Arabidopsis thaliana: one gene and its partner. The protein of the gene in region 2 interacts with the protein of the main gene of each other region in a pairwise test. Each region holds a gene or a part of one and is shown on either strand. Other genes may lie near its edges.

Region 1 (3,937 bases), on a different chromosome or scaffold from region 2:
ATAATCTATTAGCTGTATTAATGACTTAACGTAAGCAGTGGTATATAGGGAAAAGTTGATTTGTGGTATAAAAGTCTAAGATTGGATGAGAGAAACTCTTAAGGATCGACGTATAGGCGATGGTATAAAAATCAAAATGGAAAGCTTTTACCATGCAAAAAGAACCATAGCATTTTTGTTTTAAAGAAAGAAAAAAAAAAGAAGGAAAAGAGTCATAGATATTACCATGCAAAAATATGGAAATTGTAATATATATACGTGATTCCCATATTATAAGATTAGAGCTTTTTCCGCCAAACTAATTTATTAATTGTAATTATTGATTACAAATTTATAGATATTTCAAAAATGAAGTCACAAATGAGAAATGAATCAAATGAAACAATCTATAGAAAACAAGATATTATAAAAGTCAATTAGTCAGAGTTTATACATGCAAAAAAAAAAGAGTCATGGAGCTTTCAAATATTAAGTCACAAATAGGATATAATCGAGACTGCTAAAGATGTTACGGTAATAAATCCGAGCATATTACATGCCATTGAAAAATAATACGTTCTATGATAAAAAGTCATTTGATCGGAGCTTCGTGTTATGTGTTCTCTGTTCTTTCCATATTGATTCGCCTTTACATGCGATTTTTGTCTCAGTAGCCGCTAAATAAGGTGATTGGTTAGAATTTAGAAATATCAAGAGTTGTATTAAAAAACAAATAAACGAATGAATAAATTTTGCTCGAATGTGAACATAAAATAAGCAAAAGATATAGCATAATTCCACGTCAGCATACAACAAGCTGACCCAAACAGAAAAATAGAATTCAAACAACGGTCAATTGTGGATAACCAAACGGTGGGTGTGGAGATAACGGCGATAAAAGCGGCATGCTCAGAAACTCCGTCAAATCCCAGTCATCTATCGCCGTCAAACCTGACTCAACATTCTCGCCGCCGCTAACGTCGTAACTCTCCTCCGTCTTTAGCACTTTCTCAACCACCGTCACTTCCTCCTCCTCGCCGTCTCTCTTCCGTTTGTTGTACAGGCCACGACCATCTTCAGCGCGTGGATTCCACTTGTCAACTTCAAGCGGGAAATTCAGAATCGCCTTTGATCCTCGTAGTCTAAACGCTTCTTTGTCGTAAGCTCTAGCCGCTTCGATCGCCGTCTCAAACGTCCCGAGCCAAACACGAGTTCCACGACGAGTCGGGTCTCGAATCTCCGCCGCGAATTTCCCCCACGGCCTCATCCTCACTCCTCTGTAATGCCTCTTCTCCTCTGCTGCTACAACCGGTACGGGAAGTTCCGGTTTAGGATTTCCGGTTGCGAATTGAATCCACTTGGTTCGGTTCGGTGGTGCGATCTTCAACGGCGGTTTTCGATTGGATTGAACAGTAACGCGAGGAGGATTCGATTGGAACGTGAAGGAATCGTTCGATTCAGATGGAATTTCAGATTTCACATCGAAATCAAAAATCTCCGGTTTGGGAGTGACGAGATCGATTATTTCCGGTTTGGTTTCAAATTCAGAAAACTCGAAACCGGTTTGATCAAATGACGTGAAATCGTTCATCCATCGATTGGTGGTGGCAGTAGTAGGCAACGGAGACAATTCGTCGAGGAGATACTTCTTGATGAGGAAAAGAGCTGATACTTCGTTTGGTGTAGCCATTTTGGAGGAAACAGAGAATTGAAGAGGAAGAGGGATTTGATTTGACAGTGGAGAAGAGAGAGTGGAAAGGTGTATTTATAGGAAAGAGTCAAGTCAATGAGAGACTCTTTCAAGGCAACATCCTCAGGATTTTTTAAACTTAAAATCTAAAATTATCAAATGCGGGATGGTGTATGTACACGCGTGTTTCACCGGTTTTACACCGTTTGATTAGATTATAAACCCCTCGTCAACGGTTTGATCGTGTGGTTCATCAATGGCAGCTGGGGTAAAAAAACAAAACACAAATATTTTAATTAGGCTGCGCTCTAATATTGGGTTTCTTTGGCAGATGATTAGACAAGAATTTATCGATTCATGTTTATCAAAATATTAGTACGGTTTAGTAATAGTTATTATAAAGTACCTTTCGTGTTAATATTTGATTAATTTACTACTCGTTGTGAGAATTCTTCGCATGCATGCATTTGCAATATCAAAATTTAGCGGCCGTATCAACTCAATGTTTGGATAAACACACGTTTTTATATAAAAACTTATGATAGTTGCAAAATTTGATGGAAGAAAAACACTGGTTTTACTTCACGTACGTCGGATGTTATTTTTGTTTTTGGATTAAAAATATTTTAGTTATGAAGACTAGATTCTCTTTGTCGAATGTCGACGATGTTTTCGTATGGTCGCCAACATTTTGTGGACAAAGACCCATGGAATTCTCGTATAGCTGCCCAAAAACATTTAAAAAAAAAAAGTCCAATAATTTCAAGTTCAACCAGTAATTTGTTCATCCAATCTCTACATAATCTTTCGGGATAAAATATCCATTATTTTTGTTTTATACATCTCAGACCAGAAAGCTGTTTTTATTTCAATGATCAACACTATATATATGTTCATTTCTAGCTGTTATATAATCACTGAAAACTAAAGTGTTGTTAAAATGTTGCCGAACATAGTAAAACATTACACCGATAAATATACATTTTTATTGTGTCTACGGGTACAAGCTACAAAATTATAAGCTTATCGCTTCATTTGTAAGTGAATAGATATTACCTTACGTATAAAACATAAACTAAAACGCAAACACACAAAAATGCATGCATAATTAGACTATCAGAGGAATCGTAATATTAAAGTTATAGTCTCGAAAGATAAGGGCTGCGTAATTAGCGGAATCGTAATACTAATTAAGTTCTAGTCTCAATTATTCTACAATAATTATAACCAAAAATATATATTTTACAACAACAAACCATGTGACCACTTTTGGCTTTGGTTGCTGCTTTCGAACGTGATATATCCATTTTACGTCTTCGTACGAATGTGCTTACTTCATCATAGATATTGATTCATACTTGAAACTAATTTACAAAGCCTAACACACACATATGCAATTTTCTATCAGTATGACAATTTATACTATATATATGAAACATATTGCTCAAGGCTTATCCTAGATGTAGGTTTAAATGAATCTTCTAATATATTTTTCAAATCAACGTTTTCACTTATTTAAAACATTTGTAAATAATTTACATGTCTAGTTCAGCTCTGTGTGTCTGTCCAGTACTTATGTTCTTATTACAAATATCTTTGTTTCAAGGGAAATATCAATGGGTATTGCCCAGACGAATCCATAATTAACTTCTCAATAATTACAGAGTATTCATGTTTACTAATTCGTTCCTACAAAAAAAAATGTTTGCTATATTCGTTCATGTTAGCTATAGTTTTTCAAGTTTTTCTGGAAATCTAGGATGTCAAAAACTGAAAGAAAAAAATCTAGTACTTAAAAAATCAATTATTGATTGATTTCTTCTTATCATTAGTCTTTAATTTTTATATATATATATATAAACATGCATTATACATATTTAAACTGGGATAATGGTACCGTTACACCAGAGTTGTGTGTTAGAAAACAGCCAAATGCCAGAATCCACAACAAATGAAAACTTAGAGCCTAGAGGTCCACATGTTTCCAAAACTAGGCTTATGTTACGTATTTGAGTTTAAACTAATTTCTAGACTCTTTGTTTAACTGAGTCTAGAGAGGATGTCAGTTAGATTCTTTTTATTTAAAAAAAAGTCAGTGAAGAAGTTCGATTATGTAAATATCGTAAATGTTTTTTTTTTACAACAAGAGACATAAATTGTAAACTACCCTTAAGCCTCTAAAACGTAGTTAACGAAATTAGACGAGATTAGTATTAACCACTATACAACATGTCCTACTTTCATACTATATTTTCTTTATTAAATTTT
Region 2 (6,767 bases):
TTAATTGTTTATGTGACATCTAAACAACTGTTAAGTCCGGCTAAAATCATATATATATTTTAGTATATTTTTTTAGTTTTTAACTAAGTTTATATTTATAAAAATGTTCATATAATATTTGATATAATTAAATAAATATTTTATCTAATTTTTGTTTACATTTTAACAAAAAAACTTTCAGATATTTTACATAATATTTAGGTATAAAATCATATTTATACTATAAATATATGTTTTAACCGCTTAAAATTGTTTAAATTCCGATAAAACGTTCAATGCGCTAAATATTAAATCTCCGTCCGTTTAGCGCTTTGTTAAACAAAACACTTAGAGCATCTCCATTGGAAGTATTTCAATGAGATACCCAACAAAACAAAAAAAATTTAAAAAAAAAAAGTACGAGAGAGATGAAAAAAAGTAGAAGAGAAGGAGAGTTAAGTTTTTCGGAGGAGAAACTTTGAGAAACTATTCTCATCCAATTTGGACAGGTGTCATCATATTATTAGTTTAACTATTAAATAATAATTAATATATCTGTTTTGATTAAAATATTATTATTTTTTTTTTTTAGAAACTTTCCTTATTTTTATTGATGGAGATGGTCTTACAATAAATGGCTGAGATGCTTCGTGTATATTATTATTATTATGTCGCCAAGTCCAGCAGGGTTTGCATTAGTTTTGAATTTGTGTTTCGTATATTGTTTGTTTTTTTGTTTTTTTTTTGCAGCTGACATTAATAATTTAGCAAGTTATTTTCCTTCAATTATACTAGTTTTGAAGAACTTACAAAAAGAACATCTAAACGTTAATTAAATGCATTTATACTAAGCTTTTTTTCTTCATAAAGTGCAACTATACTAGTATTAGGCTGATTTTGTTTCTTAGAAATAATTATATCTGAAGAAAATTAATTAATTACGTAGCGCTAATTAAGTTATTAATAATAGTCGACATGGGTTTCCGGACAAATGTCATCTGACAAAAGTTCTTTGCGGAAAGGCGGAGGAAGAAAAGGAGGACGAGTACACATGAGCAATGCCCAATTCACTCCTTGGAAAAATGGATGACGTTTCACGGCCGTTGCACCTAGAGATGACCCTAACCGTCGGCTAGGATCCTTGGCAAGTAGCTGAGAGATCAGATCCTTGGCCGCGCTTGGAATCGTTGGTTCTTTCGGGAATTCGAGTGCTCGAGCCACGATATTGGCAAGGGTTAGCTCGTGGTCCATTCCTTTGAACGGTGTTGTTCCGTAGAACAGCTCGAACATGAATATCCCTAATGTCCACCAGTCCACTGCACTACCATGTCCTTCTCCTGCCATCCACATTTTACGTTTCATGTTAGGATACCACATCGGAAAATTATACATTATATAAACTTCCCTAAGAAGAAAAACGTTTGACATAAAAATCATTCAAATCGAAACAGGGGAAATGAGAATGAGGAAGATTTGAAGAATACCTGAAACAATCTCAGGAGCCAAGTACTCATGCGTCCCAACGAATGACATGGACCGGACATCTACAGGTTCAGCCACAAGCTCAGGACCGTTGTTACGGTGATCAGTTTTCTTCTTACGCCTTCGGATTCTCGGGTGGAAGCAAGAGACAGCAGGGACAATACAGTTAGGGATCATGCAAGAGGATGATGTGGTTTGACGGTGGTCCATGCCTTGGTTCTCGTTCTGGTCAGACGAGCCATTAGGAAGATTGTTCCGGTTCAGCACTATCTGTGGTGTGGAAGTCGATTCATCACATTTTAAGGAGAGATCAAAATCAGTTAACATGATGTGACCATCTGATCGAACCAGCACGTTCTCAGGCTTCAAATCGCGGTACACAATCCCCAACATGTGAAGATATTCAATCGCTACGATCACTTCCGATACATAGAATCTGAAAAAATAGTAAAGAGATGTTGATTAGTAATCTGAAAAGAAGGGACAAAGAGAAGAAAACATGGTAGTGAGGACAAAACGAATAATTGAGATTTTACAATAATTTAACAAGAGTTTGTTTTGGAATTATTGGTTTACAGTTTTAGGTGTTGTGACAAAACAGCATTTGTTTGGATTTGGAGACAAGAAGATGATGTTTTGGGTTTGATGTCACTATACATAAGGAACAAAAGAGGACCTACGAAGGTTGGTTGGCTTAACGAACTCTTTTGTCTAATAGAGAATTCTGGTGCTAAGACATTATCCAAGATTCCTCTAGCTGACCCTTTTTGTCTTCACGGGTCCACAATCAACAAACATACTCCACACAAAACAGAGTCATAGTGTACAACAGACGAATTCTAAGAACAAGTTCACACAATCTTATTCGGTTCATGTATGAATTTCCGTAGAGCCATTGTTCTCTATATCATTTAAAGAAAAATCAGAATCTAAATGAGTTCAAAGGAAGTAACCCATTCTATATGAAAAAATGCAGCTAAGTGGAGAGAAATGGGGACCTTTTTTGTAGGACAACCTTAAAAAAAGAAGATATATATTAAGGAATCCCTACAATACATGTTTTGGTCCCAATTCTAAATCATTTTACTTTAATACTAAAGAAGAAACCTTATAAAAACTAAGTCCTGCTCATGAGTAAAACACACAGATACAAGTCGCGAGAGTGAAGCAAAAATGCTCAAATGGTAATGACCTTGACTTCACTTGTAGGATCTTTAACGTGTAAACCACTACTACTATGTCAATCTGACAATAACTTAAGAACACAAATAAATCAGATTTAACATCAACCAAAAACAACAAGATCCGGTTTTCAAGTACTTACCACGTGATACAAATTGGTCCATAAATGGTTATAAAAGTGGCTAACTCAACTAACAAATGATATAACTTCAGCTACTTCAATTCGAAGCCACAGCTACTTTTCAAAACAGGTTAATAATATTTCATAATTTTTCCAAAAATTTCCTCCTAATTGTAGGACCAACCAATTAATAAGGAATGGCACAATTGTAAATATTGTTATGAAGAACAAGCTTGGCACAATTGTAAATAAGAACAAGCTTAGCTGGGATGTTGTTTGTACTGTAACCACATGCCCGATTACAAAAAAATATTAATTTTCAACTTCAATGGCATGCTACGTGATTTTAATTCAATCACGCGGAGTACCACTACAAGACTTACACGTGTCTCTGAGTGATTTGTTATTATTTCAAAGTCAAACCCCACTCGTTTTGACTTTTTATTAATCGTTATGGCCTACGATATGCCCACACATGTAAGTAAGATGCACACACAACTTTTGTTAATCGTGCATACATCTGCTTACAAAAATAAAAATAAAATAAAAACCATATCTTATACAAATGGTTTTATTTAAAATATACTTTTTAGTCCCTTTTCTCGTGTAGCGTAAATAGACTTTTCCTAGTTTATAAAACAAAAGCATTTATCGAGCACATCAATGAATAATATATAGTTATTGGTGAAAAATACCAAAAATTCGGATTAAATTACGGAAATTAAACCTCGATTGTGTGTGATTTTCACTAGGATTATTATTATTACAAGTAACAAACTTAACGGGCCTATGATATAATTAGTGCATAATTGCCGTTAAAAAGTATATATTATAAATAAATCGTCACTTTATGGTTTTATAATATACACTTTCTAGTCCCTTTTTGTGTGGCGTATTATTATTACAAGTAACAAACTTAACGGGCCTGTGATATAATTAGTGCATAATTGCCGTTAAAAACTATATATTATAAATAAATCGCCACTTTATAGTTTTAATTAATAACTAAATTACACTTTCTAGTCCCTTTTCATGTGGCGTATATAGACTTTTCTAGTCTATCTAAAAATACACTACACTATCGTGCACATCAATCAATAAAAACATATATTCCAATAACAAATCTGGAAAAATTCATTTCAATTATATAAGTTAAGGTTACTGAAAACTGCCAAAAATTCAGAAGAAATTACGGAAACTAAATCTCGTTACTATAATTACGATGTAATTACCGTTAAAAAGGCAATAAATCTAGTACTAGTGATTAATTAACGGTGCCATTAAATTCAGTTATGTGTGTTTTAAGTGTTAACTACGAGACAATTCGCCAGCTGGCGAGTCCCACTTCCCTGATTTCATCAGGCTTTTATATTTATTCACTGCTTCATAGTAATAATTACTTCCCAAAAGATTTTTTTTTGAATTAGAAACTGAATATTTAAAAAAATAAATAACTTAACGGAAACTGTTACCTGACGGCGGATTCATGGAAACGTTTATGAGTCTGTTTTTGACGGAGAACGTGAAGGTCACCGCCGGGACAAAACTCCGTTAATAAACAGAGCCATTTCGGAGAATCAATGGCGGCGTAAAGCGTCGGAAGAAACGGATGATCAAGAGATTCGAGAATCTCTCTCTCCGTCTTAGCTCTACCTTCTTTGCTTCTGCTCGCGAGCTCCTTTTTATCCATAACTTTCGCTGCTAACAGAGGTAATTTAACGGCGGTGGTTTCTGTTACGGCGGTTAGGGATTTGAATTCGGCTAAGAAAACAGAGCCGATGTCGCCGGAACCGAGACGGAGACGGAATCTGAGATCGGAGAGTGAGAGAGATGATCGGAGTGAAGGAGGGAGTTTCGAAGATGAGAATGAACCGTGAGCTGATGGTGCTGGTGTTAAAGCTGCGGCGGAGGAGGAAGAGCGAGAACCGGAGCTTGTGCTTCGATTCACGGTGGTTCCGGCTGATGTAAAGCTTACACTCTGTAAGTCGTCGGTTAATTCGTCAATCCATGGCTCCATTTTCCGATCTACTGAGAGTGACGACGAGAGAGAGAAGAAGAAGAAGAAGAAGAGAGGGAGAGAAAGAGAGAAGTAACTGTGAGATTTTGCCTTTTTGGGGAAGAGAAAAAATAGAATCAAAAGAAGATGGCAAAGTTGTAATTTAAGGGTTGAGATATGGTGCGTTTCGTAATTTAAGGTAATAGTTCGATTGTTAAGGAGATGATGATACAGTATTCTATAATTGAGATGTTTTATTTATGTAAATAGACAATAATTAGGGAATTATTTGAGAGGGATTTTTGATTTCTCTATGAATTTTTAAGATCTTTGGTATAGGATTTGTTTCAAAAGAGAGAAACAAAGAGACATATAAATCTAGGCCCCTACAGAATTAAGATAATGACATATACATATCTTGTGTTTGTTCTATTTCAGTTGTGATTACTAGTATTTTCTTCGTATGGTACAATTATAAATAAATATCTAATCACTGTCTTTTGAATATTATGTCACCAAGTACAAGGATGGTGTTATTGGTGAACAATTTGTATCGTGAACTCAAATCCCTATTGCACGAACCTCAGGTTAGTGGTCGACTGGTCGCTCGGCCTCGTTTTCATTTCCTTTGAAACCATTATGGTTTAGATATTGGTTTAACTCAATTGCATATACCTAACCGGTTTGACTCGGGTGAATATGTTAGATAAGGAAAGTGTATATAACCCTTGTATTTTCTCATTAATGAAATCAGCAGAAACATTTTAGGTTGGATAAGGAAAGTGTCTATAACCATATCATTGAAAGACAAATTGCTTGGGTCGAAACCGGTTTTGTTAAGTCCGGCCCTGGATATATTACCAATTTGTAACACTCGTCTTAAACCGGATATTTTCTAGTCAGACCGAAAAAATACAAGTGAAAGAGGTTCAAATAAATTGATAACTTAGAACATTCATAACAATGACCAAAACAAATCTTTTCAATGAGGTTTGTAAATTGTAACTATATATCCGAATTAAAAAATAATCGTCATAAGTACTAACTGTTTTTCGGAGAATGAAATGGGCTATCTGTTGAAAACCTTAGGCCTGAGTTTAAAGACCATCTGTACAATTGGGCCAATAAGTAACGCATTATCCATCAACAAAGTACTGAAACATGAGACACTTAGACCATCTCCATCGGGGGTTTCTTGTAAGAATTTCTCACAATTAAAAAAAAAAAATAATAAAAATGAAGGAAAAAGAGTGTAGAAAGTTTCTCACTTGAGAAACTCTGAGATACTCTTTACAACCCATCATGATAATTCTCTTCTCATTATTGGTTCAACTTTTTAACAAAAATATTTTTTTAATCAAAAAATCAAATTATAATATAATATTAATTTTTTGTTTGTTTGAGAAACTTTGTGGGTTTCTCATGGATAAAAAGGCCCTTAACTTGTCATAGAAGTTACAACACAACATGAAAGTTAAACATCGCCGGCCAAAACAAAAATATTTCTGTGAATTTACACAAAATTATTTGCATTACCGACCATAATGTTCTCCTCAGTACCTTCAACACAATACAACAATACATTAACAAAATTGGTCTTCTAGCATTAGCCTCGTCTCTAAAATCTAACATCTTCTTCTACTCCTAATCCAACAATTGTTTATGTATATTCCCAATTATACCCCTCTATTACTTTGCTTATTACGGAAAAGGAGTTCAAAGAGCAGAAGAAGAAAACTCGTATATCCCAAATCTCCAACTTTTCAGGGGAATGATGATGTACTGTCCCAACCTCACGGCTTCTCTAACAATCCCTTCATATTTACCATTTTGCCACTACACTAGACAATTTCGTCCTTCTCATTTCCGATCATCTGATAAAAACCCGAATCTCGTTTCTATCATCCGAGCAAAACCCAGAATTTCTCATTCGCTTAGGTGCTTTGTATCATCTTCAATGGCGACTCCTCCTCCGACGCAGAGCAGCGAAACCAAACCTTACTCTGT

What was found.
Region 1: the proteins of AT3G44610 (region 2) and ERF6 interact in a two-hybrid assay, tested with the Arabidopsis thaliana proteins (one large-scale study listed by BioGRID).

Annotation. Positions count from the first base shown.
Region 1 is NC_003075.7:9,752,153-9,756,089, forward strand, and holds ERF6 (ethylene responsive element binding factor 6), read right to left. Parts: upstream 2,010-3,937; 5' UTR 1,670-2,009; coding exon 821-1,669; 3' UTR 672-820; downstream 1-671.
Region 2 is NC_003074.8:16,187,327-16,194,093, forward strand, and holds AT3G44610 (Protein kinase superfamily protein), read right to left. Parts: upstream 5,040-6,767; 5' UTR 4,782-5,039; coding exon 4,237-4,781; intron 1,898-4,236; coding exon 1,464-1,897; intron 1,317-1,463; coding exon 940-1,316; 3' UTR 803-939; downstream 1-802. Other genes in the region: AT3G44620 (protein-tyrosine phosphatase), read left to right, coding at 6,532-6,767.